Canis lupus familiaris: one gene and its partners. The protein of the gene in region 3 interacts with the protein of the main gene of each other region in a pairwise test. Links are inferred from orthologs where the notes say so. Each region holds a gene or a part of one and is shown on either strand. Other genes may lie near its edges.

Region 1 (10,550 bases), about 65 Mb from region 3:
GGATATTTACAGAGGTGAGGTGACTACAGAGGTCACAGGGTCGGCCCTAATTCAACATGACCTGTGTCCTTGTGATCAAAATCCAATGTGGACATTTGGATACAGAAGCAGACATGCTCAGAAGGAAGACAATGTAGAGACACAAGGTGAATGCCATGTGGATATTGGAGCAACACTACCACAAGCCAAGGATCATTTAGGGACATCAGAGGCTGGAAGAGACAAAGAGCCTCCCCTAGGGGTTCCAGAGGGAACATGGCCCTGCCCACACCTTGATCCTGGACTCCTCCACACTAAACTGTGAGTCACTACCTTTCTGTGTGTGTGTGTGTTTTTTTTTTTTTTTTTTAAGATTTTATTTATTTATTCATGAGAGACACACAGAGAGAGAGAGAAGCAGAGACACAGACAGAGGGAGAAGCAGGCTCCACGCTGGGAGCCCAATGTGGGACTCAATCCCGGGTCTCCAGGACCACGCCCTGGGCTGAAGGCAGGTGCCAAACGGCTGAGCCGCCCAGGGATTCCTCTTTCTGTGGTTCTAAGCCAACCAGTTTTGTTTTGCTTTTTAAGATTTTACTTATCTATTTGACTGAGTGTGCGAGTGCACCCACACACAGAAGTAGGGGGTGAGGCAGAGGAAGGGGGAGAAGCAGACTCCCTGTTGAGTAGTGAGACTGATGCAGGGCTCGATCCCAGGACTCTGAGACCATAACCTGAGCCGAGGGCAGACGCTTAATTAACTGACTGAGCCACCCAGGTGCCCCTAAGCCAACCAGTTTTTACTATTTCCTTTTGGCAGCCCCAGGTAACCAATATACAGATTCCAGTTTCTCTTCCATCTGATGTGCAGAAAAGACACCGGGTCATGTGGGGTGTGGTGTAGGGAAGGCCTCTAGGTGAGTGCAGCTGCCATCACCACAGCTCTTCAGGTCACGTGGTTGTTAAAGGCTGACTCTGAACATGTGTGCAGACTGGGCCCCTCCCTGGGAGCTTTGAGGGCCCTGTCCCCGTGAGTTGTGGCCCTTGCGCTGGTCTCCCTGAGGCAAGGACAGGTCTGAGTCCTCTCTTACCCCACAGTCTGGCATCACGGAGGCCTCTGGAAAAGTGTGCTGAAAAACGAATGGCTAAAGGTTTGGGACTGGCTCAGTTGGCAGGGCGTGGGACTCTCGATCTTGGGGTCGGACTTTGAGCCCCATGTGTGACACAGAGTTTAGATACACACGTACATACACGTAACAAAGGGCTGCCTAATCCAACCATGTCTGTTAAGGCCAGAATAAAGCTATGCTCTTAGCTGGGCATCTGAGACCCTCCGTGCCTCGGGCTCTGCCCACCTTCCTGCTCCACCCTCCTCTGGGTACAAGTACCCCAGAATGTCTCACATGTCCCTGGTCTCCATGATCTGCCACATAACCAGTCTTCTGTCTTGTGCTGTTCACCCCTCTTCTGGCCCAGGAGGAAAATCCCTGCTTATCTATCCTATGACACCCCCCACCTAAGCCCAACAACCTTCCCCAGGAAGCCTGCCTCAGCTGCCACCTGATTTTAGGCCCCACCCTCAATCATATCACATGTCACTGTATACTGTGACTGTCAAGCTTACCTCCACAGTGCACCTGACTCCCAGAGCCAGGGCAGCTTTCAGGGAGGGAGACCAAGTGGTCGGTCTGAGGTATCTCTAGCTTGTGTCCAACATGCTCAAGGACACACAGGGCTTCAGAAAAGGCCTCCTGGATGAGTAAGCCACAGCAGCTCGACCCCTCCACTCCCTTCCCCAGCTCTCATGCCCATTCTTTCCAGTTGCAGGCTTCCACCCTCTTCTCCCGCTAGGCCCCATGACCCCGATGCCTTCCTTCCCCCTCTCAGGGCATTCATGCTATGCTGCTGCTCCTTACCCCCACCCCCTGCTCCCAGACCTTCTCTTCCTCACCACAGGGACTCTGTTCTGCACCAGAACTTTAAGGCCAGAGTTGGGGTAGACCCCAACGAATAAACCAACCCTGCATCCACTCTGCAGCTGCTTCCTGTTCCTGAATAAATCAAACCACTATTTTCATAAGCCTTTTAGAGCCAAAGGTGCCCTGGCTGGGCCTGGCCAGAAGGCTAGGGGGGAGTGCAGGGGGTAAGATACAGAACAACTGTGTCATGTGTGCATGTCTCCTTTTAGGGGCATGAAACTGTGTTTTGGGGCTGTGTGGTTGCACAGCGTAAGCATACTAAACGCCACTGAATTGTTCACTTTAAAACAATCACTTCTGTTATGTGAATTTTACCTCAATTTAAAAAAGTAACTTATGAGGGAAAATGTGACCAATCAATCACCCTGAGATCCTAAAACTTGTTCTTCCCTTCCTGAGTGTAGGCTGTCTGTTCCGTGCTCAGAGAGATATGTAACAAATATTTCGTCTGGGAAATGAGAAACACTTGAAAATGGGGAGAAGTAAAAATCTGGTCAGTTACATAATATATTTTAAATATCATAAAGTTCATGATGAACCTGAATTCCAAGCAAAGTCTTCAATGGTGCAAACATGAAGATGAACGTGCCCTGGTGCTACAGGTGGGCTCTGATTCTTACTGCTTCCCCAGGTCTCTTGCTGATGCCCACACCTCCCCCCCACAACCACTGGAGTCTTCAGTGCCCACTTTCACAGGGTAATAAGCCTTTGGAGGGTCCTCATCCCCACTGAGGTATGATCAAAATGAGTGAATGTGAACAGCAGCCAGGCTTGGCCTGTCTTAGGTCCCCAGTTCCTCAGGGCTCAGGACAGTTTCCTCCACAAACATTTGTGAAAAGGAGTGAATGAATGAACAAACAGACTGTCACAGTGCTAGGGAGAACACACTCAGGGCTCTTTTCCTTCTACCTCTATTCTTTCTGATTCTGGGTCAATCGCTGTAGGGGAGGAGGAAACAATCCCCACCCCTCTTGAAAGAAAGGAATTGGAACATCAGAAATAAATCTTCCCAAAGCAAGGATGTTTCAAAGATCACACTACATACTTTGTTCCTTAAGTTAGGGACGTTCCAGGAGAAGATAAGATTTCTTCTCAGGGCGTGAACAAAACCCGCCAACTCTGTGATCTCTTTGCCAGACTCCCCCGGCAACGTCACAGAAACTGAATTTAGGTGGTTACACAGGACTTGGTAAACCGCTGACTGCTGCCAATGTAAATGGCTTAAAATGTTTATCAACCGATTGGGAGAATTCCGCAGGGAGCACACAGCATACAAAGCTTTTTCATTTGGCTAAAGATATAGTGTATTCTAAGCTGATTTAGGAGGAGGTGTGGGTATATGCTGAATGTGCTCAAAAAGTATCTCCCTCTTATCTTCCAGGGGCTCTGGAAAGATTTATTTGTCCATCTTTAAGGTTTTTTTATTTTATTTTATTTTGAAGTTTCTCTTTACTTATTTAAGTCATCTCTACACCTGAGTGTGCAGCTCAAACTCACAACCCCGAGATCGGGAGTCACATGCTCTTCCAATGGAGCCACCCAGGTGCCTCTGGGAAGTTTCAAATAAAGGGGTTTAACTGCTTGTCCTGACCTGTCAACACCTACCAGAAGCTTTGGTTTCTTGGTGATTATCTTCTTCATGGCTTTCACTCATTTATTTACTGTCAAGGTCTTCTGAGACCTTCTGAGTGCCAGGCCCCAGCTGGAAACAAAAAGCAGAAGGACCACCAGGGACCTAGCCATTCATAGTCCAGAGGCATGGGGCTGCGACAGGGGACGGCTGGGAGGGGCAGGCCCAGAGGAGGGAGTGATGGCTGCTTGCCAGCATCAGGGAAGGGACCTCTGAGTTGGGTCCTGAAGCTTATAGTTCACTGGGAAGAATCAGAGTATAAAGTGCATTCAGGGGGCGCCTGGGCGGATCCATCAGTGAAGCATCTGCCTTTGACTCAGGTCATGATCTCAGAGTCCTGGGATTGAGCCCAGGTTTCGGCTTCAGGCTCTCTGCTCAGAGGGGAGTCTGCTTCTCCCTCTCCCTCTGCCACACTCTGTCTCCCTCTCAAATAAATAAGTAAAATCTTAAAAAAAAAATTTATATATATATATATAAAATGCATTCTGGGCATTCACTCACATATTCCCTCATTCCACCCAGTTCTCCTTAGACCGCCCTGGTGCCAGACCTTGTGCTTGGCGCTAGGGACTTAGACATCAGACTTGAACTTGGGCATCAGGGAGTCCCGTCTTACCATTATTCATGTCTTAAAACAACCTATCTCGGTACTTCTCATTTGGGGTGGATTTTGTCCTTCCCTACCCCCTGCCTCAGGGGACAGCTGACAATCATCTGTAGACGTTTTTGTTGGTCACAACTTGGAGGTGGCTCTTGGCACCTGGTGGCTAGAGGCCAGGGAGGCTACTGAACATCCTGCCATGTGGACAATCCCCCACAATAATGAATTATTTGGCCCAAAGTGTCAACAGTACTGAGGTTGGGAAATCCTACTCTGTCCTGACTACTAGTTCTAATGGCCATGAGGGGTCAAACTTGGGTGTCAACTTCCCAGTGGGCGTGCAGCACCTAGTCCTGCACACACATAGCCTGGAACAGAGCAGGCACTCAGTTTGCTAAGTAGCAAACTCTTGCCGTACAAACGAATGAAGAGAAGAGCCATCATGAACCAGTGCCGTTTCATGAACTCTAACCACAGACCAGACCTGGGCTAGGCAGTATGAAGGCACCATAGGAAAATTAGTTCCTGTGATCCTCCAGAGAGCATGGACATTTGAACTACCATTATCTATTCACAAACCAAGAAACAGGCATGAAACAACAGTGAACACTAACATAGCACTTAATACATGTCAGGTGCTGTTTTAAGTAGTAGCCAACTAACTCATTCAATTCCCAAAGAATGCCTATGCCTATGAAGTCATGGTAGCTAGCACCCCCCACCCCCAACAATCCCCACCTCCTGTTATTCACACCCTTGAGATTCACCTCCCCTCATGCTCCCTGCACTGAACAGGACTGACTTCTCTACCAAACAGAATGTGGCAGAGACAACGCTGTGTGGCTTCTAAAACTCGATCATAAAAACTCTTGTAGCTTCCTCTTTGCCCTCTCTGTTGTGTTGCTTCGTCTGAAATAAGCCAGCTGCCACGTCAGGAGAACATTCCCCCAGCCACAGAGTGAGCTACCTTGAAAACAAATTGGTCCCTTGCATGACTGCAACCTCATGAGGCCCTGAGCCAGAACTATCCAGCTAGGCCAGTCCTGAATTCCTTACTTACAGAAATGGCATGAGATAATCAACGTTTATTGTTTTGAGCAACTAAGTTTTGGGATAATGTGTTACACAACAAAGAATAAATAACACAATAAATAATTAACACAAGTACTATAATGTTAATCCCCCCCTTTAAAGAGACAGGAGATAGGGACGCCTGGGTAGCTCAGTGGTTGAGCATCTGCCTTTGACTCAGGGCATGATCCTGGGGTCCAGGATCGAGTCCCGCATTGGGCTCCTTGCAGGGAGCCTGCTTCTCCCTCTGCCTATGTCTCTGCATCTCTCTCTGTGTCTCTCATAAATAAATAAATAAAATCTTAAAAAAAATAAATAAAGCGACAAGAGATAAACTACATTAGGCACAAAGGGAGCAGGGACTCTTGGGTCTGGGAGTTTGATGGTTTAGCTGTGATATGACCACAGGCTATCTGTACCCGCGGGAGCCTGCAATGTGAACATTCCAAATCCCATTCAGAGCACAGAGAGATCTATCCTGGCCTAGGCCCCACGCCCCCCTTGCACTCAGGCTTCAAGAGGCCCATGTGAAATAGGAATACTACGGTGGAGATGAGGAACAGCCGACCAAATGCGGAGAACCACACAGTACGAGATCGGAGCTGGAGCTCAACAGGCCTCCCAAACTGAGAAGATTTTTCTACTTCCACATCGGAGGGCAAAAACGCTGAGCACACGGAACCCACCACAGAAGTGACTTATGGACAAAAACAATCCCTCTCAGTCCTTTCAGCCACCCAGTGTGAGCGACGGTTCCTGAAACTCAAGTCAAGCCGCCATCCGTTCATGGTCCCTCACAGGGTCCCCCAACCCACCCCCTAACACAAGAAAATGCTCACTTAATGCCATCGAGCCAGGTGACAAACTCATAGGCGCTGCTGGTGGGAGCGTGACACTGTACGTAGGACTCGGGAGCGCAGTCCACCGTGTTGAACACCACGAGGCTGTACTGGGTACCCCCATACTGGGAGAGGAGGAGGGAGGAACTTTTCATCTGGAACTCCCGTCCAGCTCTTCCGCCCTCCGACTCAGGAGTCCGGTCCTGGACTCCTCCCCACTCAGACTCTGGAGTCCATCCCCGGCCCCCTCCGCCCCTCGGACCCTGGAGTCCGGTCCCCGGGCTCCTCCTTCCTCAGACTCAGGAGTCCGGTCCCCGCCTCCCTCCTTCTACAGACTCAGGAGTCCCAAGACTCACGTCTCCTCCGAAGTCCGTCTCGGCAGGAGGACCACCATTAAAATACCTGCGAGGGTCGGAGGTAAAAGGTCGGGGTCAGGCAAGAGACTGTGGAAAACTAAAGTCGGAGGGCCGGGCTGGAAGTCGGGGAAACGGCACTCACTCGATGGCCGGAAGCAGGTAGTGCTTGCGCAACCCTTCGAAGTAAGGCCCCAGGTTGGCTGTACCCTCGATCACAAACACCACGTCAGCCACGAGGCCCCCGGCGCGGGCCGGGCCCTCCGACCCGGGGACCATGCCCCGCGCAGCAGCCGCCACCGCCGCCACCGCCGCGGCCGCCGCAGCCGCTGTGGAAAGAGCGGAAGTGCGCCTGCGCTGCGCGCCCCCCGGCGCGGGACGTCTTAGCGCCGCGGCTCGGCGCGCCCGCGGCCATGTTTGTGCGGGGCACGCAGGGCGCGCTGGTTCTATCTCCATCCTCGTAGGTACCCGCCGCGTGCAAGATTAAGAGCATAGCGAACCCCTTCAGGGGCCTGACGGGGAAGATTGGGTCATTGTCAGGACTGTGGAGAGTGACATACATGGAGAGAGCCGTAGTCGGCCGCCATCTTTGAGCGAGGCGCCCGCTCCGCCTCTGGTTTCAATGGGAGGGGCCGGAGACCTGGTTGCTATGCAACGCATACGCTGCCCTAGTTTTCTATCGGCGAGATTAGGTTTCTGGTTAATTTTTTTCTGCCGCGGAGAGATGGGGGGAGGGTCGTGTGAAGGGTCCAATCACATCCTCTGAAATGGCGCTACTAGGCAACGCTTGGGGTTGCCGGCCACTCGGAGGGGAGTGCAGCTGTTCTTCCCTCTCAAAGAAGCCCAATTCCAACCCAAGTGGCGGTTGCTAGGCAACACCTGATTGTTGTTTTCTGGGAGAGCGGCCAGAAACTAGCCTAGAACATAAATACATTCCAGGTGGATTAAAAATGTAAATGCAACAAATGAAACCTTAAAAATAGCTGAAGGAAGAAAGGAACACACCGCATAATCCTGAAGACTGGGAAAAGAGTTTATCATCATAGCAAAGCCAGGAAACGTAAAATATTGATCAATTTGTTCAAAAGGCTCCATAAGCCAAGTTGAAAAAAAAATATGATAAACTGGGAAAGTCGTTTGTAACATGTATTGACTGAAATTTTACTACATAAATATAACTTACTCATCAATAAAAACGTAGGAAAAGAGAAATACTTTTTTTTTTTTTTACTGGTATGAAGGCTCTCTCTTCTCCCATACAAAACAATTTAAAATGGCAATTAAACCCCTGAAAATTGCTTATCTTCACCAATTAAAAAGCATTTTGCTTTTGTCGTGCTAATTAATATCGGAAAGAATGATGCCAATGAAGTCGGGGGAGTTTGGGCTCAGACATAGTCTAGAAGGGGCTGTAAATCAGCATAACTTGCCCTCCTGCCGTTTGGTAATGTACTTCAAGATAAAAGGGTGCATTCCTCTTGCATACAGTTATATCACCATTTTGTCACATTTACCTTATCCGTCCCTTTTTGCTTTAATTTTCTTTGCTGAAGTCTTTTATTATTTTTATTCTTTTTAAAGACTTTATTTGAGAGAGACGGATTGAGATAGTGACAGAGATAGCAAGAGAGAGCAGGAGCAGGGAGGAGAGGGAGAAGCAGGCTCCCCACTGAGCAGGGAGACTGACTGACTACACAAGGCCCAATCCCAGGACCCTGGTATCCTGAGCCAAGCAGAAGGCAGACGCTTAACCAACTGGGCCACCCAGATGTGCCTGCTGAAGCCTTCTAAAGCAGAGTCCCAACATCCCATCATCATTTTACCTCTATCTGCTTGGCAAACCTCTCTAAAAAGTTAAGGATGGGGAGCCTGGTGGCTCAGATGGTTGAGCGGCTTGCCTTTGGCTCAGGTCATGATCTCTAGGTCCTGGGATGGAGCCCCAGCCAGGCTTCCAGCTCAGCAGGGAGTCTGCTTCTCTCTCTCTCTCTCTACTTTCCCACTGTTTGTGCTCACACTCTCTCAAATGAATACATAAAACTTCATTTTTTAAAAGATTTTATTTATTTATTCAGAGACACAGAGAGAGAGGCAGAGACACAGGCAGAAGGAGAAGTAAGCTCCATGCAGGGAATCTGACATGGGACTGTATCCTAGGTCTCCAGGATCAGGCCCTGGGCTGAAGGCGGCACTAAACCGCTGAGCCACCCAGGCTGCCCATAAATAAAAATTCTTAAAAAAAAAAACAAAAAAAAAACAAAAAACAAAAACAAAAAAACCTTGAGGACATTTTCTTACATAGCCACTATGCCATTATCACCCCTAACAAAATTATTCTTGGTATTATCTAACACGAATCCACAGTCAACTTTCCCTGATTCTCAAAATGTCTTTCTTCAATTGTTTTATTTACATTAGGATCCAAAGGCCAAAAACATATTTAGACATTATAACTCTTAAATTTCTTTTCTTTTTTTCTCTCTTAAATTTCTTTTAATTTAAAGCAGCTCCCATTTTTTTATGCCAGTGTAATTCAATTTTAATAAAAGTACAAGGAAGATTTTTTTTTAATTTTTCTTTATTTATGATAGAGAGAGAGAGAGAGGCAGAGACATAGGCAGAGGGAGAAGCAGGCTCCATGCACCGGGAGCCCGACGTGGGATTCGATTCCGGGTCTCCAGGATCGCGCCCTGGGCCAAAGGCAGGCGCTAAACCGCTGCACCACCCAGGGATCACATAAAAGTATAAGGAAGATTAAATTGGAGAAAGGAAAAATGATCAACAGGTAAGACGATTAAAATACTTCCTAAAATTAAAATCCACCCTATTAAGTAAAAGGAAACTTTTCTTTAGATAAGCTGAATGTATGACTGGTTGTATTAACTGATTTTTTTTTTAATTTTTATTTATTTATGATAGTCACAGAGAGAGAGAGGGAGAGAGGCAGAGACATAGGCAGAGGGAGAAGCAGGCTCCATGCACCGGGAGCCCGACGTGGGATTCGATCCCAGGTCTCCAGGATTGCACCCTGGGCCAAAGGCAGGCGCCAAACCGCTGCACCACCCAGGGATCCCTATTAACTGATTTTTAAAGAGATTTTATTTGAGACAGAGAAAGAAAGAACACACAAGGAAAGGGGGAAGGGTACAGGAAGAGGAAGAAGCAGATTCCCCACTGAGCAGGGAGCCCAATGTGGGTTTCGATCCCAGGACCCTGAGATCATGATCTGAACTGAAGCCAGGCGGTTAATTGACTGAGCCACCCAGGCACCCTTAACTGATTTTTAATACATCTCTGTTAATATATTACAAATGGTAAAAATGAACAATTAGATATTTTAGCCTGGACTTCAGCTTCTAGCATTATGATGGATTAGGTGTAATAATACTATTTTTGCAACATTGGTGGTTTCTTAAAAGGTAGACCTCATGAAAGGTCTTCAAGAATCCCTCCCCACTGTCCCCCCAAAAGACAGCCAAAAAAATTTTTTTAAGATTTTATTTTTTTTATTTTTTATTTTTTTGATTTTATTTATTTATGATAGTCACACAGAGAGAGAGAGAGAGAGAGAGAGGCAGAGACATAGGCAGAGGGAGAAGCAGGCTCCATGCAGGGAGCCCAACGTGGGACTGGATCCCAGGTCTCCAGGATCACGCCCTGGGCTGAAGGCCACACTAAACCGCTAAGCCACAGGGGCTTCCCAAGACAGCCAAAAATTAACAAAAAAGGGGATGTTGGCATAGAACTGCCTGCACAGGGAAGGGGCTGCATTGGCATTACAGAACCTGAATGTAGCTGTGAATTGGAAAACCGAGTCTTTTTCTCCAGCTAAGCAAGAGCATCCCAGGGCAGTTGAACTCGTTCCAGGTTGGTAACATTCCTGAGAATTTGCAAAAGTAGAAGTCAGTACTCCTTATAGAACTCCGGTCAATAGCAGGTAATGAGTTCAGATCAAAGACCACCACCGCAGAAGCAAGGACTATAAGTTAGAGTCCACAGAAAGAACAGTTAACAGATGTGACATCCCCACCTCCAGGACTTTAGGTCCTGCAATGGTTGGGTTCATAATGTACCATAATGTGCAAAGTGTTGAGAGAAATA
Region 2 (10,683 bases), on a different chromosome or scaffold from region 3:
GATGAGAGGCAGAAAGAGAATGAAGATAGCTTGATGCCCCACCGCCAAGGGGGAAATGTTTCAAAGAGAAGTGGCAGAAAAAGAATACAATGGACCAGGATGGTTTAAGAAGCCATCAACAGTGATGGCTTGAGTGATTCCAATGAAGCAGTGAGAACAAAAACCTCACCATAGTAGACTGAAGAACACAGGAGAAACAAAGTGTATCTAGCGATAGTTGTCAGGTCAAGATTTATGTTGCTTTTATGATGAGAGAGACTGAACCTAAGTGGGGGAAATCTGGAAGGTGCCAAGGAAAAGGAGGAAATTAAACGTATAAGGGGATAATAGAAAGATCTGGTAGGGAATGAAATGTAAGGATTGAGCCAGAAGTTAATCTCGAGGTTTTCTTCTTGGATGGAGAAGAAGATAGTAAGTAATGGATGAGACAGTTCAAAAGGCAGGAAAAGTGAAGAAATTCACATCTAATAAACTCTTATTTTCCCTGTGTTGGGGGGGAGGTGTAAAAAAAAAAGCAGTGCCATCTGTTAAGCATAATTAGGGGCCAGAATGATGAGTATTTATGTGATTCCTATAGGGAAAGGAGCTGGCCTGGGAAAAGTAAAAAAGATCACTGGGTGTTACTGATGTCTGAGTTTAGAAACCTTTGATTTGTAATATAATCTATCAGCACAAGTGTATGACTTTCTCTGGCATCCCTTAGCAATCCATGAATGGAGAAACTCAGAAAGGCAGAGGGCAGACTGGATCGATGGCTGGGTATTTGCAGGGCTAATACGGTAAACAGATCAAGAGCGAAAGGGAGCTGAGGGCCGGGGGTGAGTGTGGACAAGTCAAGTGTGCAGGAAGAAAGTAAAGCAGAGAGGGTCAAGGTACCATAAAAGCTTAGACTAGATGGAGAGTTGGCATATGAGCAGTAGAATGAAGGTCTAACAAAATGTAGATTGTGGCTGAGTTCTGCTATACTGGAATTTAGAATCTGGAAACAAGGCAAGCCTACGTGATGAAGTCCATGGAATGGCCACAAAAGTGAGTTGCTTAACTGTCATAGATATGTAAAGGTCTTGAATAGAAAAAGCCAGCAAGGCTTCTGGTATTACCATTTGGGTCATCCACATGAATGCACTAGAGCAGAATGATGGCATGAGTTTCCAGGGCAACACTGCTTTCATGTGATTATTTTTTAATAAAGTTAATTACTAAATTTCATTTTTTGATCATGAAAATTTTCACTAATTTCACTTTTATTTAGATTTCACATATATCAACATGTACATACTTACTCCACGTATCTATTTCTATTCTGGAATATGAGGTTGCCGCTACCATAGCTAAGAAAACTTCTCAGGAGTCCTTTACAAATGACAAGTAAAACTTTTCAAAGATAAATATCAAATACCAAAAGCAACAAAAATTAGATTATCTTTTTATGGTAGGCTTCCAAATAAAATTAAAATCTGGCCTCCAGCTACTTTAGCATGTGGCATTAAGTAGAGCAAGAGGAAAAATACAAACTACACACCCCTAAAGTTTTATAGAAAAATCATGCTACTAGCCATTTCCAGGCCTCCTAAGCCCCACACCTCAGCCAGCACTGCTTTAAACTAATATTATAATCAATTAATGGTAAGACAAATTAGTTTGGAATAAAATATGCTGCAGAAATATATTAATACACTCAGAAGTAAAAATAACTGAGTTTATGACAGTTTTGGGCCTGTGTATCACTGCTTTCCATTTATAAGAAAAGGGGGATCCCTGGGTGGCACAGCGGTTTAGCGCCTGCCTTTGGCCCAGGGCGCGATCCTGGAGACCGGGGATCGAATCCCACGTCGGGCTCCCGGTGCATGGAGCCTGCTTCTCCCTCTGCCTGTGTCTCTGCCTCTCTCTCTCTCTGTGTGTGACTATCATAAATAAATAAAAGTTAAATAAAAAAGATCCATTTATAAGAAAAGAATGAAACTTAGATACATCTTAAACAGGATCCACAAACTCTAAGGAATTCCCTATTTCTGTGTTGCATGTATGAATACGCTCATGTTTTCTTAATCAAGAGGTCACTAGCTTGGGCTTTATGTTTTTTTGTTAAAATTATTCTGTACTTTTTAGACGAAGGTGTGATTTACTATACTGACTGTACACCTGGAAGATAAAGATGATTTTTGAGTATCACATTCCACTTCCCCATGAGCGTAAGCTTAAATAAAATTAAGCCCTTAAAAAATGAGACAGGAAGAAAATGTTAGCATTAAGGCAAGTCATCCTTAAACATAACAAGACTCCGAAACGGTTGCAAGATAGCTATAATTGTAAATGTTCCCACAAACCTGCATGGCACAAGCCACCTAGATTCCTGCAGAGAAGCTCCTTTCTAGTAAAAAATATTCCTCTTGAAACCCGTAACTCCTCACTCCTCTTATCCTCAGTTGGATTCCCAAACACCCCTCTATTTTCCAAATGCTCGAGTTTTCCCAACTCAAATATGGAGCCATTAACTAAAGACCATGATTTGCATTATGTGGACAGATACTGACTGTACTAAAACCATGATTTCAAAATTAACAAGCAATTCTTGATAACATGAAGTTTCCGGGAAATTAAACTTAGATTTCTTCAAAACAGACTACTTCCTTATCAACCTTTTTACACATAATCTCTTTAGAAGCTAACCTGATAGGACTCTTCTCTCACATAAAAATGCTGTCTTCTATTTTCAACTTTGATAAAATATCTAATGAATAGTAATAGCTACTATTCATGGCATGGCTCCTGCAAACCAAGCATGGAACTAAAGTCATGATACACATTATTAGTTAATTTAATTCTCAGGGTAACAAAATGAGCTCTGTTTTACAGAAAGGACCCAAGTTCTGAGAAGTTAAATCTGCCCGAGGTTACCCAGTGTGCAAGCTGCAGAGCCCTAACGTGAATATGGATCCCTTTAGCTATAGCATCTAATGCTTCTACAGTATATTTATATTGATTTTTCATTTTGGCTAGTAATACAGTATCCGTTACTGCTTTGTCAATTTCTTGGTAAATCTGCTCACATTTTCTCAATATATTTACACAAAAGGTTTAACAGGTTCTACTGCAAAAAAATCAACTTCTCTATTATTCTAACACAAATACTCTAATTCTATAGTTGTATCACTTTTGAGATTCAGTAACAATTATTTTAAAAAACTAAATAAAATTAATTTTGTCAGGTTTTTCCAATATGTAGATAGCATGAATTCAAATCCTAAAACTTCAACATATGGTAAGAGAAATGTACAACTTGCACAAACTTCCCTCTTCTGTGTATTACTTTAACATTCTCTTTTGAACTATAAACTTCTATTTAGATCTCTGTTAGGTCTATTTAGATTTATAAATTTTACAGATTTACGTAGAGGCAAAAATCCACTTGCTATTAAAAAAAAATAACTGACATGGAGCGCCTGGGTGGCTCTGTCGAATAAGTATTTCAGTCTCGATTTTGGCTCAGGTCAAGACCTCAGGGTTGGGAGACCGAGCCCAATGGCTGGCTCCTCGCTCAGTGGAGAGTCTGCGTGCTCCTCCCCGCTGCTGCCTCCCACCCCCAATTAAACAAATAAAATAAAATCTTAAAAAAAAAAAAAATCGTTGACAGGTGAGGCAAGGTATAGATGGTGAACTTCCCTAGAAATATGCTAAGAGATTGTGAAATCTTTTACATAAAAGTAAAGTTACACCATTTCTAAGTATCAGGATTTCTGATTTACATTCCATTTCATTCAAAACATTGCAAATATACCCTGCAGGTTATATTATTCTTAAATTATATTTTTAAAGTCAGGAATTCTTACCATGTGGAGATGGGTTATAACAAGTTTTACAAAACTGTTAAATAGGCTGTACATATACAGGTATTACTTCTAATATCAAAACAGAAAGTACATATAAATACAAAATTCAAAAAGTGAGTCCAAATGTTTAGAATTGTATTCTTCATATCATACAGTCATAGAGTACTTTAAACAGTCATCAGATGCAGTCACACCATATTATCTGATCCTTGTAACACGACAACGGCTGTGAGAATACTACAGGTGCTGTTATTTCCTTACATTGAAAAACTGAGGCTTAGACTTGGGTCACCCAATAGGTAAGTAGCTCAGGGCCAGCCTAAAAAACGTGGGACATTTGTTAGTTCTTTTCTACCTTCTTTTCGACCATATCTACTACCTCGTTAGCAGTGGATTAAGTGGAATAAATGACACTGCCAGGAATTAAAAGCATCTGTCTAGATCCAGAAAAGCCTATTAGAAGAGAAACAAAGCAAACTAAAATGTTATACTACCTAATAACATTTATAAAACCCACAGGGACTCCAGTTAAAAATTCTATTCGTTATATAAAAATTAGTGAAAGGGAATAAAGGGAAAGGAGAGAAAATGAGTGAAAATATCAGTGAGGGTGACAGAACATGAGACACCTAACTTTGGGAAATGAACAAGGGGTAGTGGAAAGGGAGGTGGGCGGGGGGGTTGGGGTGACTGGGTGACGGGCACTGAGCGGGGGCACTTGTCGGGATGAGCACTGGGTGTTATGCCATATGTTGGCAAGGAAAGGGAGGTGGGTGGGGGGGTTGGGGTGACTGGGTGACCGGCACTGAGGGGGGGGGCACTTGGCGGGATGAGCACTGGGTGTTATGCCATATGTTGGCAAATTGAACTCCAATAAAAAAAAGAAAAATCAGGAATACGTAGTTAATACAGCCACCCCCCCCAAAAAAAAAATTCTACTCATTTTATTCATTAAAAATCGTATTCGGCTGTCACTGGCTGCCGCATTCTACTGGTTTTTCTTTTTTTTTTTAATATTTTTTTTATTTATTTATGATAGTCATACAGAGAGAGAGAGAGAGGCAGAGACACAGGCAGAGGGAGAAGCAGGCTCCATGCACCGGGAGCCCGACGTGGGATTCGATCTCGGGTCTCCAGGATCGCGCCCTGGCCCAAAGGCAGGCGCCAAACCGCTGCGCCACCCAGGGTTCCCCTACTGGTTTTTCTTAAGAATTTTTAACCCCCCCCCCCCCAAAAAAAGAATTTTTAACCCAACTCATCCAATAAATGTTTTTTTAAGCACCTACTATGTACCAGGTGCTATTCTGGGCACTACAAACAGAGTAATAAAACTTCAAAGCCTCTGGCCTCACTGAAGTTACATCCCAGGAGGAGGGAGACAAGGAATACATAAGTAAAATAATTAGTGTAGGGGATCCCTGGGTGGCTCAGCGGTTTTAGCGCCTGCCTCTGGCCCAGGGCGCGATCCTGGAGTCCCAGGATCGAGTCCCGCGTCGGGCTCCCTGCATGGAGCCTGCTTCTCCCTCTGCCTGTGTCTCTGCCTCTTTCTTTCTCTGCGTCTATCATGAGTAAATAAATAAATAAATCTTAAAAAAATAATTAGTGTATCTGATGGGGGCACAGCGTCTATACACAGAAACATTAAAAAGGAAAAGATCAGGAATGGGGCGTGTGTACCGAGGAGCGAGGGAAAGAAAACCCGTAGGATGCTCCGTACACGTTCACCTTGCAAAGTTTATCACCCACATTCAACAGCTGTGAAAGAAGTCATCAAAATACGAGATCTGTGGGAAGAGAATTTACACACTCCTGACATATTTCCATCGTCTCCTACTTGTCGGAACGAAAAGAGAATCGCTCAGGCTTCTTGGCACGGCTGTTGAGAAGCTGGATTCACGGCTCAGACCCTGTGGCTTCACGGGAAACGCGAGAGCACGGCAAAAAAGGAAAAAAAAGAAAAAAAAAAAAAAAAAAGAAAGAAAAGTTCGCGAAGTGGCGGTAGCGCCGGTGGGGGAGAAGAGTGCAGACAATCGGGCGCGCCGGACTCGTGGCGACCGCCCGCGGCCCGCGGCCACCGCCCTGCACGGAGGGAGCGGGCGCCCGCGGCGTGTGCCCCGCGCGCATCCCAGCCGGGGCCTCCGGGGACCCCCGCCCGCCCGCCCGCCCGCCCGCGAGGCCCGGCCTGCTCGGGTCTCCAGCCCTCGCCGGCCCCACGCACTCGGCGCCCGCCCGCCCGCAGCCAGCTCGTCAGCTCGTCAGCTCGTCAGCTCCGGGGCCGCCCCCGCCGCCGCCGGCCCCTCGCCGGCTGCCACGTAACCCTTCGCGGGAACCAGGAACTGCGCGGCGCGGCCGACGTGAGGGGCCGCGGACCGGCCGGGGGCGGGGGCGGGGTGTGCGCGGCGGCCCGGGGGGCGGCCAGGCCTGCCGGGGCTCGGCATCCCGGGGCGGGCGCGGGGCGCGGGGCGCGGCGGGGCCGGGCAGGGCCGGGCCGGGCAGGGCAGGGCAGGGCAGGGCAGGCCCGCACCTCCCCCCGTCCCGGGCCGAGGCGCCGAGGCCGGCAGCCGGGGGAGGCGCGGGCGGGCGGGCGGGCGGGCGGTTGAGGCGCGGGGCGGACTCACCTCGAACATGAGCCCCAGCAGGAAGACCATCGCCACACAGGAGACGATGTCCGCGTGATTCTGCAGGATGAATTCGTGGCTCAGGACCGGGGGGCTCTTGGTGCTCTTCTTGCGAATCGCCATGGCGAGGCCGCCGCCCGTGCCTGCAGGTGCTCGTCCCCGGCGCCGCTCTCCAGCTGCTCACAGACTGGCTGCCGCCGCCGCCGCCGCCGCCTCCCCCTGGCTGCTCCTCACCGCCCCGCCGCTGCCGCTCGCTGGGGCTTCACTTCCCATCCCACAGCCAGTACGCAGCCGCCGGGGCCGCCCGGAAAAAAAAAAAAAAAAAAAAAAAAAAAAAAAAGGGGAAAAAAAAAAAAGAGGCAAGCCCACAGCGGGGGTGAGCATGCGCACCAGGGAGACGGCGCTCGCTCGTGCCGGGGTCGCCCCTGCGAGCCCACAGCGCCCCCTGGGGACCGGAGGCCGTCGGCCCACGGCCGGCCTGGGTGGGGAATCGCAGCGGCGCGCCCACCCGCTCCGCTCGGCAGCTCGGCTCCTGGGCTCCGCCGTGGAGGTTGGGAGTCGTTTGAGGCGCGAGCTTCCTGCGCGTAGTTAACAGGCGGGGGCCGCGGGGGGCCGCGTGCTGTGGCGTGCGTGGCCCCGGGCGTCCCCTCGCGCCCTCCTGGCCACGCTGAGCCGGGGTGTCCCTGGTGAGCCAGAAGCGCCATCGAGGGAACCCAAACCTATGGCTGCAGCCTAACTACACAAGGGCAAGGTGCATTCTTCAGGTTTGGCATCTCAAAAGTCAACTTCAGGGTTATTTTAAACACTCTTGGGGACTTAAAAAGCAACGGCAACAAAACAACCCTAGAAAACAAACACCAAAACTATCTGTTTAAAGCTTGAACTACTTTCTGGAAAACACACACACACACACAAAAACACTTCCTACACTTCCTACTCAGCCTCATCCATCCATCCCCATCCCTCCCTGCGTCTCACCGAAGACAGCCAGGATTAGTTTGGGTTTACTTGCTTGATACTTATTAACAACACTTCTTAGTAATCTAGAGAGCTTGTTAAAAAAAAAAAAAAAAAAAGAAAAGAAAAGAAAACGGTTTGTGGACGAGACAGATCTTCCTCTCTCATCTTTCTGCCTAGACCAAGACTGCTTTGTATTCCTTCTCTTAAATTGCACCACTGTTTACCCATTTGCCAAACCTAGAAACCAGTCATTCTGGACTGATACCTTCCAGCATCCTTCCACTTCCGAACTATCATCACACTCGGGTAATTTTAACCCCCCCCCCCCCCCTTACCACTGACAGCCTCGGGGAGGGACTTGCATTTTGCCTACGATTTTACGACTCCGCCGAACTGCAGAGTGGTTTAAGACGATGGGTTTTTGAGTCAGACTTCTGTCGCTTATTACCCTGAATGACGGTGGACAAGTTACTTGACCTCTAATGAGACTCGATTTCCTTCTTTATTTATCTCTTCATTTATTCAAAGAATATTGAGCGTCTACCCATATGCTAGGCATTGGGGATACCGAACTGAACAAAAATGTCAAATTAGCCTGTTCTTAGGAGCTTTCATTCTAGAGAAGGGAGAGGATCTTTAAACAGGGTTTAAAAAGTGAAACATGTTGGGCAGCCCCGGTGGCTCCGCGGCTTAGCGCCGCCTTCAGACCGGGGCGTGATCCTGGAGACCTGGGATCGAGTCCCACGTCGTGCTCCCTGCACGGAGCCTGCTTGTGTCTCTGCCTCTCTCTCTCTCTCTCTCTCTCTGTGTGTGTGTCTCTCATGAATAATAGTAAAAAAAAAAAAAAAAACCAAAAGTGAAACGTTAAATTGAGATGAGGGTCCTGGAGAAAAATAAAGCAAAGGGAATAGGGAAAACATGGAGAAGTTACATTTACCTGAAGACCTGAAGGAGGCAGGGGACCAAGCCACGCAGCTGTCATCCATAAAGAGGAGACGATTGTAATTAAGTGCGATGCAAATTACATGAGATGATTCCAGGAAAGTGCTTAGTAGAGAGTTAGGGCTTTCTACATATTCGCTCTTACTCTTCTCCTTTCTGGTCAAATGATTACTAGTTTCACTTACCTCCAAATCACCTTTCAGTTTTTACATCAGAATGATGCATCTAACAGGTTCAACATTTTTTGTGGCTTTCCTTTTCCTTCATGGAAGGCTAGCAGAACTAAATAGCTCTTCATGATTTGGCCCCTGCCTACCCAGACAGGCTCAAACCCAATCTCTTAGTGCAACATTTCCAACTCCACATACTATATATTGTAGATCACGCTCTCTTCCCATGCTCCCGACAGTTTTATGCCTGCTGCTCCTTCTGTCTGGAATGTTTTCTCCTGTCCTCTGCATACACCCAGCGCACTCCCACTGTTCCTTCAAGTCTCATTCATGCGTGATTTTCTTGAAACCTTTGCTGACTTCTATGACTGATCTAGGCATTCTGTCTCTTGGGATTCAACCGTATTTTTTTTAAAAAAACAAATTTTAAAATTGGAAGTTAAAATTTTAAATTTTTTATAATTTATATCACAGAGTTCACCCATTTCAAGTGTATGGTTTGGTTGTTTTTAGTACATTAACAAAGTTGCACAGCTATCCCCATATTCTAACTTTAGAGCATTTTTATCATCCTCCAAAAAATCCTGTGCGCATTACCACTCACTCTCCATTTTCCCTCGCAGGCTTGGCAGCCCTTGGCAACCACTGATCTTTCTGTCTCTCTAGATTTGCCTGTTCTGGCATTTCATATATATAGAATTGTGGACTTTTGTGACTGGTTTCTTTCACTTGAGATAAGTGAGGGTTTTGATGTTCATCCATATTATAGCATGAATCAGTATTTCGTTCCTTTTTATGTGCAAAAATAATATCCATCATATGGATATATCACACCTTATTTATCCATTTATCAGTTGATAGGCATTCAGTTTATTTCCACCTTTTGATGATCGTGAGCAATGCTGCTGTGAGCCTTAGTGTATAAGTTTTATATGGACTCTTGTTTTCAATTCTTTTGGGTATATATCTAGAATTGCTGGTCATATGGCAACTTTATGTTTTACTTTTTGAGGAATTGTCAGACTGATTTTCAAAGGGGCTGCACCATTTTACAATCCCACTAGCAATGTCCGAGGATTCCAGTTTCTACTCATCCTTGCCAGCATTTGTTATTTTCTGTTTGTTTACTTTTCTCCATCCCAATGAGTTATGTGTCTTATTGTGTCTTAGACTTGCATTTCCCTACTAATGCTGTTGATTAGTAGTCTTTTCATGTGATCACTAGCCATTTGTATATTTTTGGAGAAACGTCTCTTCAAATCCTTTGCTTATATATGTTGGGTTATTTTTCTAAAAAATTTATTGAGTTAGGAGTTTTTAAAATATATTCCAGATACATGTCCCTTATCAGATACATGATTGGAAAATATTTTCTCTCAGTCTATTTGTCTTTCTGTTTTCTTGATGGTGTCCTTTGAAGCACAAAAGTTTTAATTTTGATGAAGCCCAATTTATCTGTTCTCTTTTATCACTTTTTCTTTATGTCCTAAGAAATCATTGCTTAATGCAAGAAGACAGTGATTTACTCCTGCATTTTTTTCTAAGAACTTAATAGTTTTAGCTTTTACATTTAAGTCTATGATAATTCAGTTGTATTTTGTACATCTTCTGATTGCATCTGTTTTCTCAGTAAAATATGAACTGAAATCATCAGGAGTGGGTATAGTACAATGGAGTTTGAAGAGAGGATGGTGTAAAACTGTGGGAGGGTGAATGGATTGGGGGAACATAATCAAACAGCAGAGCCTCCTTGAGACTTGGGGACATAAATTCTAATTGAGACTTGTCTCCAGTCACACCCCATGCTTGGATCCAGGGGAAGAGGAGGCAGAGAGCTGGGTTTTGCCAAGCCAGTATGACAGAGGGGCAAGGATGTTGAGGATATATGCAGATGAGGGCAGGGCTAATGGAGTGAATGCTGTGAGGGGTGGTTGTGCTCTAATCCTCTATTACCCTCCAGCCTACAATCCACCCTTTTCTGCTGTAAAAGGCAAACCTCTGCAGACTGCACCCCTGAGGCTCCCTTGCCCTCTGACTTCTCATTGAGTTTGGCCAAGGGAAGGCACTAGCCAAAAGTCAGAGGAGAGTTTTGGGGATTTATTGTTCCTTGATTCCTCCTTGCCTTACTTCTTCTGGCAGTGGCTGTGTTTTCCTGTGGTCATA
Region 3 (9,939 bases):
TTTACTCCAAAAAGGCGATAAAAATGAGGTGAAGTGATGATACTAGGGATCAGATACCCATGCATGATGAAGTCTGTATGACCTTGGGTTTACACCCAGACCCTAGGAATGAAAACGAAATTTCTTTTCTTAGTGGCTGTGAGGGAAGGGCTGTGGTGTCTGGAGGGTTGGCTTAATTTTGAAGGGACTTTCAAACCTTGAGATTATGCATCAGGTGTCAAGAAGCTTGTCCCATCAAAGTCCCATGAGCCACCCTCTCTGGAGAGATCTTTGAAAATTGATAGCTTCTTGAGAAAATAAATGTATGTTTCTTTCTTTCTATCCCTTCACAGTCCTACATATGATGACCTCTGCTATGTCGCATAGGCTCACAACATTATTGCTGAGTGAATGAACATGTGAGTGAATGGATGAATAAGTTATTTGTGTAGTTTCCCTACCCCATGAATTCAAAATTCCCAGTTGGTGATTTCCACTTGGCAAAGTTTGAGAGAGAGTGATTGTCGTTTCTGTGCTCAGGGGATTGCCTACATATCTGGTATCACAAACGGAGGACTCACCTTGGCCAGGTAGGGTAGATAACTGCATTCAGAGGACACTTTCCAATCCTTTCCCATGTGTATGTTTTTATGAATATAAAAAGGGATGCAGGGAATGTGTCAGAATAGCAAATCTCTACCAAGTTTCCTGGCTAGAGAGTAAGCTTCCTCTTGAAGAGCTGTGTTAGCTTTTACTCTGGGCTAGGAATTTTCAAAGATGTCATAGAAACCACGTATTGCAGATGAAGGTTTTTATTTGTTGGTAGGAATTGCTGAACTTTCAAATCCGTCAACTGCTTTCAGCATTAGCAAGCCTATTGAGTTAATACCCCAATATATCTGCACTAAATTTATAGGGCTCTGGTAGTTTTATTGGCAACCTGTGGTGAAGGGCAACAGCAGCGAGAGAGCTCTCTAGAGTCTGTTTGACTTGTGTGAAAAGCTGGAGAGAAACTGCTATTCTGTTGAAAGCTTTGAGCATTTTCTCTCTCTCCCTGGGGTGCGTGTGCGCATGTGCACCCATGCACAAAATAATATTTTGGTGCCTTGTTACAGCCAGTCTAAATCACAGAACTCTGTTTTATTAAGTTTGACCCAGCCATATGTTGTTACTCAGAGAACTTAACACCAGATTCCATGTGACTATAAATGTGATTCGTTAGGTTGCAAGAGCAAGACTGTGTGAGATCCAGCCAGCATTTAATATTAACAGCATTTTAAATTACAAACAAACAAACAAAAACCACTTAGATATGTAATTAGGTTGTGGTGTTGTAAGACCTGAATAGCTTGATGCTGTGTTTTCTTGGCATGTCTCCAACTTGGGCTGACTTTTCCCCTATTAAAAATGTAAATATTTTCCAGGATAATACTCTTGGTCCTGACTACTCATGATACATGATTCTTTCTAAAAAATTTCAAGCTTGATAAGAGTTGTTCTGTATTTTTCCCATTGGTGGTGGGGTGGGGAAGACAGTGGTCAAAAGAAGAAATGACATTTGTCTACATTTCCTTGTGTCCATTTGCCCCGTATTTTTCTGAGCATCTACTGCATACATGGCGAGGGTCGAGGCCGGCAGGTTGGGCAGATCGCTGTCTCCAGGAATTTGCCTGGTGCATGTTGGTGTGTGCGTGTGCGTGTGTGGCTCACAGGTCCAGGGGTGCTTGGGGGCAAGAACCAGCATGCACTCATCCAGAGAGGAATTTCAGGTTGTCCTAGAGCCAGGAGGAAAACAGAGTAAATGCAAGAGGACAGGTAAAAACCACAGGACCTTGAGGTGACTGCCACCCGTGGCAGCAAAAGGCCCTTCAGAGAATGTGGCTCTGGAAAGAGCACACAAGTAGAGGAACAGTAAGTATAAACACTTGCATCTGGTAGTAAAGAGCCCAGTTTCTTCAAGCTCTTTCTTAAAAAGCTGTTTTTGTTTGTTTCTTTTTTTTTTTTTTCCCCCAGCATGGCTAAAGAGTATGAGGTAGCAGAGAGAGGCAGGAGGAGCCCTGAGAGGTCGGCAGAAGCCACATCAGTTAGACCTTGAGAGCATGGAAAGAAATTCAGATTTTATTCTGATTAAATGGAAAACACTGGGGAAAGTCTGAAGGAAGGGAAGTTCTTGAACCACTTTTATACTTAAAAAAAAAAAAAAAAAAAAGACCTCCCTCCTACATGGCCATATGGCCTCTGTTCTCTTTTTAGATACAATGCTAACAGTGGGGAATAGAACCTTATTGGAATCAGTGGAAGGAAATCACTTGTATAGCAAATCCTGAAATGGCTCTTTAAACAGGGAGATAGGTTGGCCTACAGGTGTCTTTGGAGTTTCCCTTACTTTGGTCCCTGCTGAGGGGTTGCAGCAGCTCTAGGGCTTGCGCTACTCTAAAGTGGTCCCTCTGTGTGTCTTCCCACCCACAGTAACAAAGGCATGGAGCATCTGTACAACATGAAGTGCAAGAATGTGGTGCCTCTCTACGACCTGCTGCTGGAGATGCTGGATGCCCACCGCCTGCACGCCCCAGCCAGCCGTGGGGGTGTGCCCATGGAGGAGACAAACCAGAGCCAGCTGGCCACCACGGGCCCAACTTCATCACATTCCTTGCAAACGTATTATATCACCGAGGAGGCAGGGAATTTCCCTACCACAGTCTGAGAGCTCCCAGGCTACCCCAAGGTCCTGAGAATCCCTGTACCATTTTACCCACGTCATGTATCACAATAGCAGAGTTCTGCTCCTGCGCACACTCCAGCATGCATCCACCACCATGGCTTTCTAATATGAGTGGCCATTTGTTTGCTTGCTCAGTTCTTAGTGGCACGCCTTCTTTTGGGAACAGCCAAAGGGATTCCAGGGCTAAATTCTTTCACTCTCTCTCTCCCTTTGCTATAATACTAAGCATGAGGATTCTATAGCTTTTCATGATGGAACTCAGTCTATGAGCTGGGACTCAGGTGACTGTGCATTTAAGCTACTTGTTGAGACCCAGACCTGGAGAGTGGACATTTCATCTCTGTGAAGCACTTTTTAACAAATCTAAGAAAAAGCCACAGGAAAGACTTGAAAGTGGCCCCTTTAATTTGCTGACTTGGAGAAAGCTAGGTCAAGGGTTCATTATGGCATCATCTTGTATTCCTGTAGTAATGTAACATTTTATTAAAGTAATACCTTAAAGCTTTTGCTCTGTTGCATGGCTGGAGCTGAATATGCAGTGATTGTCTCTTCATTTGCCCTATAGGAATACAAGATGCCCACAGAGAAGGAAGGTCCCCTAATTGTCAAAACTCTGTCAACTTAATACACTGCACCTTCAGATTTGCTGAAAGCTCTTCCACTGGTTTTTGAGAACACTATGTACAGGTCATGGGTTCCAGTTAATTCTTGCTTCCCATGGATCTATGGAAAACAGCAAGTTGATCCCAGTTAAGTCACCTCCACATATACCAGTTTCCTTTTAAGGGATAAATTCTTGGCCTTTGTTTTTTTGTTTTCATTTTATGAAAGAAAGCCCTTTCCCCGCAGGACTTGTAAATCAGCTTCAGAACCTGTTCTAGCGTGGTCTCACAATTACCAGCAGAGGGCGCTCTGCTTGGTTCTTCCTGGTGTGTAACTGACACAGAAGGTCAATTAGTAATAGTGCCCAGCATATGACCAAGGGCAGTTTAAATGAGTGGGTACCTGGTGACATCGTTAGCCCTAGGGCACTTGGGTAAATAGTAAACGTGCACAATTATTGTACATATTAGAGAACAGGAGGAAAGTAGGGTGGAAACTAAAACTGAGAGGCTCACGGTGGCTCTGCCACATGCTGTAGCTTTACACAGGAGTGGCCCTGGCAGGCCCTGTGTGCACTGTGGGGCAGCCCTGGGATCCATGGGCAGCCCTCCTCTTCTTGCCCCCATGATTGGAAGGAACAGCAATAGACAAGACAGCTGCATTCCTACAGCTGGCCCTGCACGTGGTTAGGTGAGGCTGGAGGGTGAGGATAGGAGGCTCACTACTCAGGCTGCCTGGGATCTGGTCAAACTTTACCTGCTCTTGGTTGTTTAGAGCTCATCCAAAAACCACGGTTTGGTCTTGGAGAAAAAACTTTACCCAAAGCTCATTTCATTAAACTTCATAAGCCAAGAGAGCGAGATTAGAATTGGGCTATAGGAATCCTTTGACCTATAGGCTAAACAAGAAAGACTCACTCCAGCCACAGGGCAGCCTTCCCTAGGCCTTTCCTTCTCCAGATCATCTATGGTTTATCTTTCTTCTCAGTGAGTTTGGTTTCCTCTGGTGACCTCATTGTCTATAACTCAAACCCCATTGAGAAGTGATGGGTTAGCGAACAACCCAGCCAAGCTTCTAGGGCTTCTCTTGGGATGCCTGTTTCAAAAAATGGATTTCTTTCATTTTTGATTACTTAGTAAGTGATCACCAAAGGACTGGGAGCCTGGGAGGGCCAAAAAAAAGTTTTGTTTTTTTTTTTATATATGCGCATCTGAATTTAGGGGCAATATTGTGTATCTGCAGTAAGAATATGTTTAGAACATAATTCTTTTGTTGTTGTTTTGTTTAAGAAGCACCTTATATAGTATAATATATATTTTTTTTGAAATTACAATGCTTGTTTATCAGACAATTGAATGTAGTAATTCCATTCTGGATTTAATTTGACTGGGTTAAATGTGCAAAATCAACAAAAGATATTTAGTTTTTTTGTATAGCTACCTTGTCATGTATGCAGTCATTGATGCCTAGGGCCTGGTGATTATTCATTTTAATGAAGATCACATTTCATATCAACTTTTATATCCACAGTAGACAAAATAGCACTAATCTAGATGCCTATTGTTGGATATCGAACGATAGACAATCTTATGTAGCAGAGATTATGCCTGCAAAGGAAAATTATTCAGGGCAGCTAATTTTGCTTTACCAAAATATCAGTAGTAATATTTTTGGACAGTACCTAATGGGTCAGTGGGTTCTTTTTAATGTTTATACTTAGATTTTCTTTTAAAAAAATAAAAACAGACAAAAAAATTCTAGTACTATAGATGATGTAATACCAGCTAAATCCAAACAATAATGAAGTGGAGGGTTTTGCATTATTCATCTAATGTGTTTGTATTCATGTTAAAGATACTACTACATTTGAAATGGGCAGAGAACACCAGATAGTTGGAATGTTAGCACAGCAAAATTCAAATAATTTTAGATATCTCTTTTTATTCTTATTTGAAGTGCCACTAATGGACAGCTGACACTTAGCAGCTGATACTGCTGTTGGGGGTAGGGAACATGTTGAATTCCGCCCCCCTCCCCCACTCTGAGGCAATTTAAGTTTTGAAAGACGTAATCAACCTGGGGGGTTAGGGTAGGGTGGGGAAGTAGGTTCAGGAATTTCAAGACTGGGAAATACAGTAATAAGAGCCTTGAAATATTTTGAGGCAGATCAGTTCTGGCACCTGGAGTATGAACCAGAGTTCCATATTCCACTTGTGCCCTGTGAACTACAAATGACAAGCATTTCTAAAATGGCAGCTGGAATTCTATGGAAGAACAAGCGTCCGCACAATCTACGGAGTAGCTAGTGGTCTGGGTTTCTTTTGGCCATTGCCTAGCTCCCGGCTTGCGGTAACGATTCTGGATTGCTGTCATGCAACAATCAGAGAAGCTAGTTCATCCAAAGAGAAGACCCTACAGAGGTTGCAAAATCCAGCCCCTAAGGAAGGGCAGTCATTGGTTAGATTTTCCGATGAACCTTGCAAGGCTATCTAACCATGCCATATCCCATACCTTTTGGGGACTGAACAAATAAGGGACTTACTGATAATTTACTCTTGATCACATTAAGGTATTCTCGCATTAAAATCTTATACACTGAAATGGCCATTGATTTAGGCTGTTGGTTTAGAAACCAATTTCAAATCCCTTCCTATTCATACTTTCCCACTCTTAGATGGACTGTGGATGCCGGGAATGATCACTACGACTGTAGTAATATCTAATATTCACAGGCAAATCTGCTTTGGGAAACTAGTTATTTGGAAGGCAGATAGTCATATACTAGTTTCTGAGGCAATCCTGCTTCCCTGTGGTGCAAGTCTTGGGAGGATGATCCAGATTACACTGCACACTTCCTAGGTGAACTCCCTGAAAACTTACTCTCAACTGGAGCAAATGAATTAAACTGTGGTCCCAAATATTCATCTTTTCACTACTAGTGTAATTTCTCTCTTTCTAACTGCATCTCCTTTTCATTTGGATTAAAGTGAGTGTGGCCTCTTTCTATGTCGTTTATAATTGTTTTCTAAGTAACTGCTGCCTCTATTATGGCACTTCAATTTTGCACTGTCTTTCAGAGATTTGAGAAAAATTTCTATTCTTTTTTTTTTTTTTTGCATCCAAATGTGCCTGAATTTTTAAAATATGTAAATGCTGCCATGTTCCAAACCCATCTTCAGTGTGTTTGTACAAAGCTGTGTACCCTGGAAACAACATACAGCCCCATGAGCAGGTGCCTGAGATGTGGACCCCTTTGCATTCACAGAGAGGTCATTGGTCATAGAGACTTGAATTAATAAGTGACATTATGCCAGTTTATGTTCTCTCACAGCTTATAAACAATGCTTTTTGTGCACAACATATTCTTCAATGTAGAGCTCTTGTTTTATGGGAAAAGGCTTACATGCCAAATCGTGTCTGATGGTTTAATATGCCTTTTCGCTGATGCATACTATTATTGATGTGATTCTGTTTTGTTGCAGCCTTGCTTTGTTTACTGAAACACACTTGTAAACCTCTTTTGCACCTTTAAAAAGTAAGGAATCCAGTGGGATACTCAAGCACCTGTAAACAATTTTCTCAATCTATTTGATGTTCAAATAAAAAATTAAACGAATGATAATGGGCTTATTTTTTGTAAACTTATTTTCTTGCTAATGGCTTACCACTGACTGCCTCAAATCAAGGTGATGGGATGCAGTGAATCCTGAAGATCACTCTGATGATCTTCCTCCCAGGCTCCTTCCTCCCAGGCACAGGAGGAAGTGTGTGGACATCTGAGGCAGGCCAACCTGGCCTCACTTCTCGGCTCTACCACATACAAGGTTTATGATCCTTGGCAATGAATTTGTCAGAGCCTCCACTTCCTCATCAACAAGATGGTTACAGTGACACCTAATTCACAGAGTGGTTGTGAAGATTATATGAGGTGTTCTTTAAAATAGTAGCTTTCTAATGGCTAACCTTATCCCATTCCCTGTAGGGGAGAAGAAAGAAGCTTGAGAGTAATTACTCCTGAATGAAGAAGTGCAAATTGGAATGAACAATCTGAAATTTACATGATTTGCTCAAAAACCAATTTTTTTTAATCATGACCTTAAAGCAGGAATGACCAGTACATTGCCTCCCCAACCCACCCCATCCCACCCCACTCCACCCTAGGGTTTCTGTTGTCCAATGGCTGCTCCCTTTTCAGAGCTACCTCTTGCCCATTTTCTCTGTAATTTAATGAATGAGTTGAGGGAAACTAATGTGACTAATTAAGAGGCAACAGAATACAGCAACGCAGGCTCTACAGCTAGATTACTCAGTTTGAAGCTTCATTCTACCATTTCTCATGTGACCTTGCACAAGGCAATTTCCCCATGCCTCAGTTTCTTTGCCTATAAAAAGAGAAAATAATAGCACCACCTGCCTTGAAGTGTTGCTGTGAAGACCACAGGGGTTAACACAGGAAGCATTTACGGACAGTGGCTAGCACTGCTCTGCTCTCCCTGAGTCCTCTCCCATGCCTGTCTGTACTCACTTCCTCACTAACAGGAGTGTAGGTTTATCACACTGAGTCACTTTGACACCAAGAAGCTCTTCTGTTTTCTTGTTTTATCATCCCTGGGCAAGTTCTTCAATCCTATTTTACCTTGTTTCCTCCTGCCTAAAGTGGAAATGAGAACTACCCACCCTATGGGGCTATTATGAGGATTCTAAGAGAAAACTATCTAAAGTACCTGGTCTAGGACCTGCTCCTATGAAGCTATCCTGGGGATAGCTACCCTAATTGTACTTGTTACCACCCTTTGTGAACATTTACATTTAATGGAATCATTGATAGGTTTGGATTTACATTTGCCATTTTTGGTATAAGTCTTTTATCTTTTTCTTTCCTGTGTTTCTCCTTACTGGCCCCTCCTTTTTTTATTTGAATAAGTATCTTTAGGATACCTTTTTTTTTTTTTTACTATTTTTAAATTTTCTTAGTGATTGCTCTTCTAGTGTGCATCTTAACCTACCATGGTCTTTTTTCAGATTAATACTCACTTAAATCTGACAAAATAAAATAAATATCTTTGTTGTAAGAGACTTCCATTCTTTCCCCACTCCTTTATATTATTACTGTGATATATATTCTATCTATATGGAATAAGCCCAACAATAAAATGTTATACTTCTTGGCTTATACAACTTTGCACCTTTTAATTTAAAAAAAAGATTTTATTTATTTGATAGAGACACACGAGTGGGGTTGGAGAGGCAGAGGGAGGAGAAGCAGATTCCTACACCCCCCCACCCCCAGCAGGGAACCTGACTCTGGGCTCAATCCCAGGACCCTGAGAGATCAGGGCCTGACCCAAAGGCAGAAGCTTAACTGACTGAGCCACCCAGGCACTCCTAACTTTGCATCTTTTAAAAAAGATAAGACGTGAGAAAAAAATTACTTACATTTTTTCTATCAATCTACATATTTTACCATTTTCAGTGTTTTTCATTTCTTTCTGTGGATTTGAGTTACTGTCTGGTGTCATTTTTCTTCAGCCTGAAGGAATTCCTGCAGAGTTTCTTGTGGGCAAGTCTACTTGAAATGACTTCTCTTTGTGGATCCAATTATGTATTTATTTCATCTTTATTTTTGAAGGGTGATTTTTCTGAATACAGAATTCTTGTTTGACAGTTTTGTTTTGAGCACTTTGAAGGTAACCATCCCTCACCTGGCTTCTATTTCTTCAATCCTTATGATTCTCACCTCTATCCGGTGAGTAATTTTCTCCTTGCTGCTTTCAAGATTTTCTCTTTGTTGAACAACAGAGGCTATGATGTGTGTAGATGTCAATCCCTACTTGGGATTTACTCAGCTTTCCGGATATGTACTCTGATAGTTTTCATCAGGTTTGTGCAGTTTTCAACCATTATTTTCTCAAATAATTTTTCTCCCCATCTCTTCTGTGACTCTCATTATATATGTGTCCCCATGAACCACAGTCTATTTGTCCCTTATTAAACTTCTCTGAATCCAAGGAATGGAGTTGTCATCATGTGCCATGTGTTATTTCCAGAGCTCACCAGCTTTGGGGAAAATGTTTAGCAGTCTGTGGAACTTTTAAATTTATCCAGTTGGAATACTGCCTGGAGGTAGATTCTACTCATGAACTTGTTCCAGATCACGTTCTCCAACATGATATATTCTTAAGCCTTTAGGGACAGTTATATTCAGAATTGCCATATTTAGATTTGCTTCTCCTCAAATACAGGATATATGCCTCAGGGAAGCAAATTTTCACAACTTTTATTATTTAGCCTATGGACTATGTGCATTAAAAAGCTAGTTTTATGTTCACATTCATGGTTGCAATATTTATAGCTACCACCCAAAAAGTAGTGCTAAGTCCAGGGGAGAGCTGTTCATTCACGATAGAGATATACTTTCTAACGGAACTGCCTGCAGACAACCTGGGACACCTGGTTGATAGTACAGGTGAGGCGAATTCCCTGTAACAGGAGTTATAGCTGCATGGATGAGATAATCCCCAAGCCAAAATGTTGAGGGTTTTTTCAGCATAAGAAATGATCCTTGATTTTCCTTTCAACCCTGAGTTACAACACACACACATTCATACACACAAAAGTACCATTTATGAGGTGCT

Evidence for each region.
Region 1: the proteins of ESR1 (region 3) and MED25 interact in a two-hybrid assay, tested with the Homo sapiens proteins (2 studies listed by BioGRID). The link is inferred for Canis lupus familiaris from reciprocal best matches to the Homo sapiens genes ESR1 and MED25.
Region 2: the proteins of ESR1 (region 3) and TRAM1 interact in a two-hybrid assay, tested with the Homo sapiens proteins (2 studies listed by BioGRID). The link is inferred for Canis lupus familiaris from reciprocal best matches to the Homo sapiens genes ESR1 and TRAM1.

What each region holds. Positions count from the first base shown.
Region 1 is NC_049222.1:107,408,780-107,419,329, forward strand, and holds the start of MED25 (mediator of RNA polymerase II transcription subunit 25), read right to left. Parts: upstream 6,789-10,550; 5' UTR 6,732-6,788; coding exon 6,598-6,731; intron 6,502-6,597; coding exon 6,456-6,501; intron 6,225-6,455; coding exon 6,100-6,224; intron 1-6,099. UniProt on the Homo sapiens protein: Component of the Mediator complex, a coactivator involved in the regulated transcription of nearly all RNA polymerase II-dependent genes.
Region 2 is NC_049250.1:20,179,230-20,189,912, forward strand, and holds the start of TRAM1 (translocating chain-associated membrane protein 1), read right to left. Parts: upstream 6,789-10,683; 5' UTR 6,572-6,788; coding exon 6,449-6,571; intron 1-6,448. UniProt on the Homo sapiens protein: Involved in the translocation of nascent protein chains into or through the endoplasmic reticulum (ER) membrane by facilitating the proper chain positioning at the SEC61 channel.
Region 3 is NC_049222.1:42,768,688-42,778,626, forward strand, and holds the end of ESR1 (estrogen receptor), read left to right. Parts: intron 1-2,448; coding exon 2,449-2,683; 3' UTR 2,684-6,920; downstream 6,921-9,939.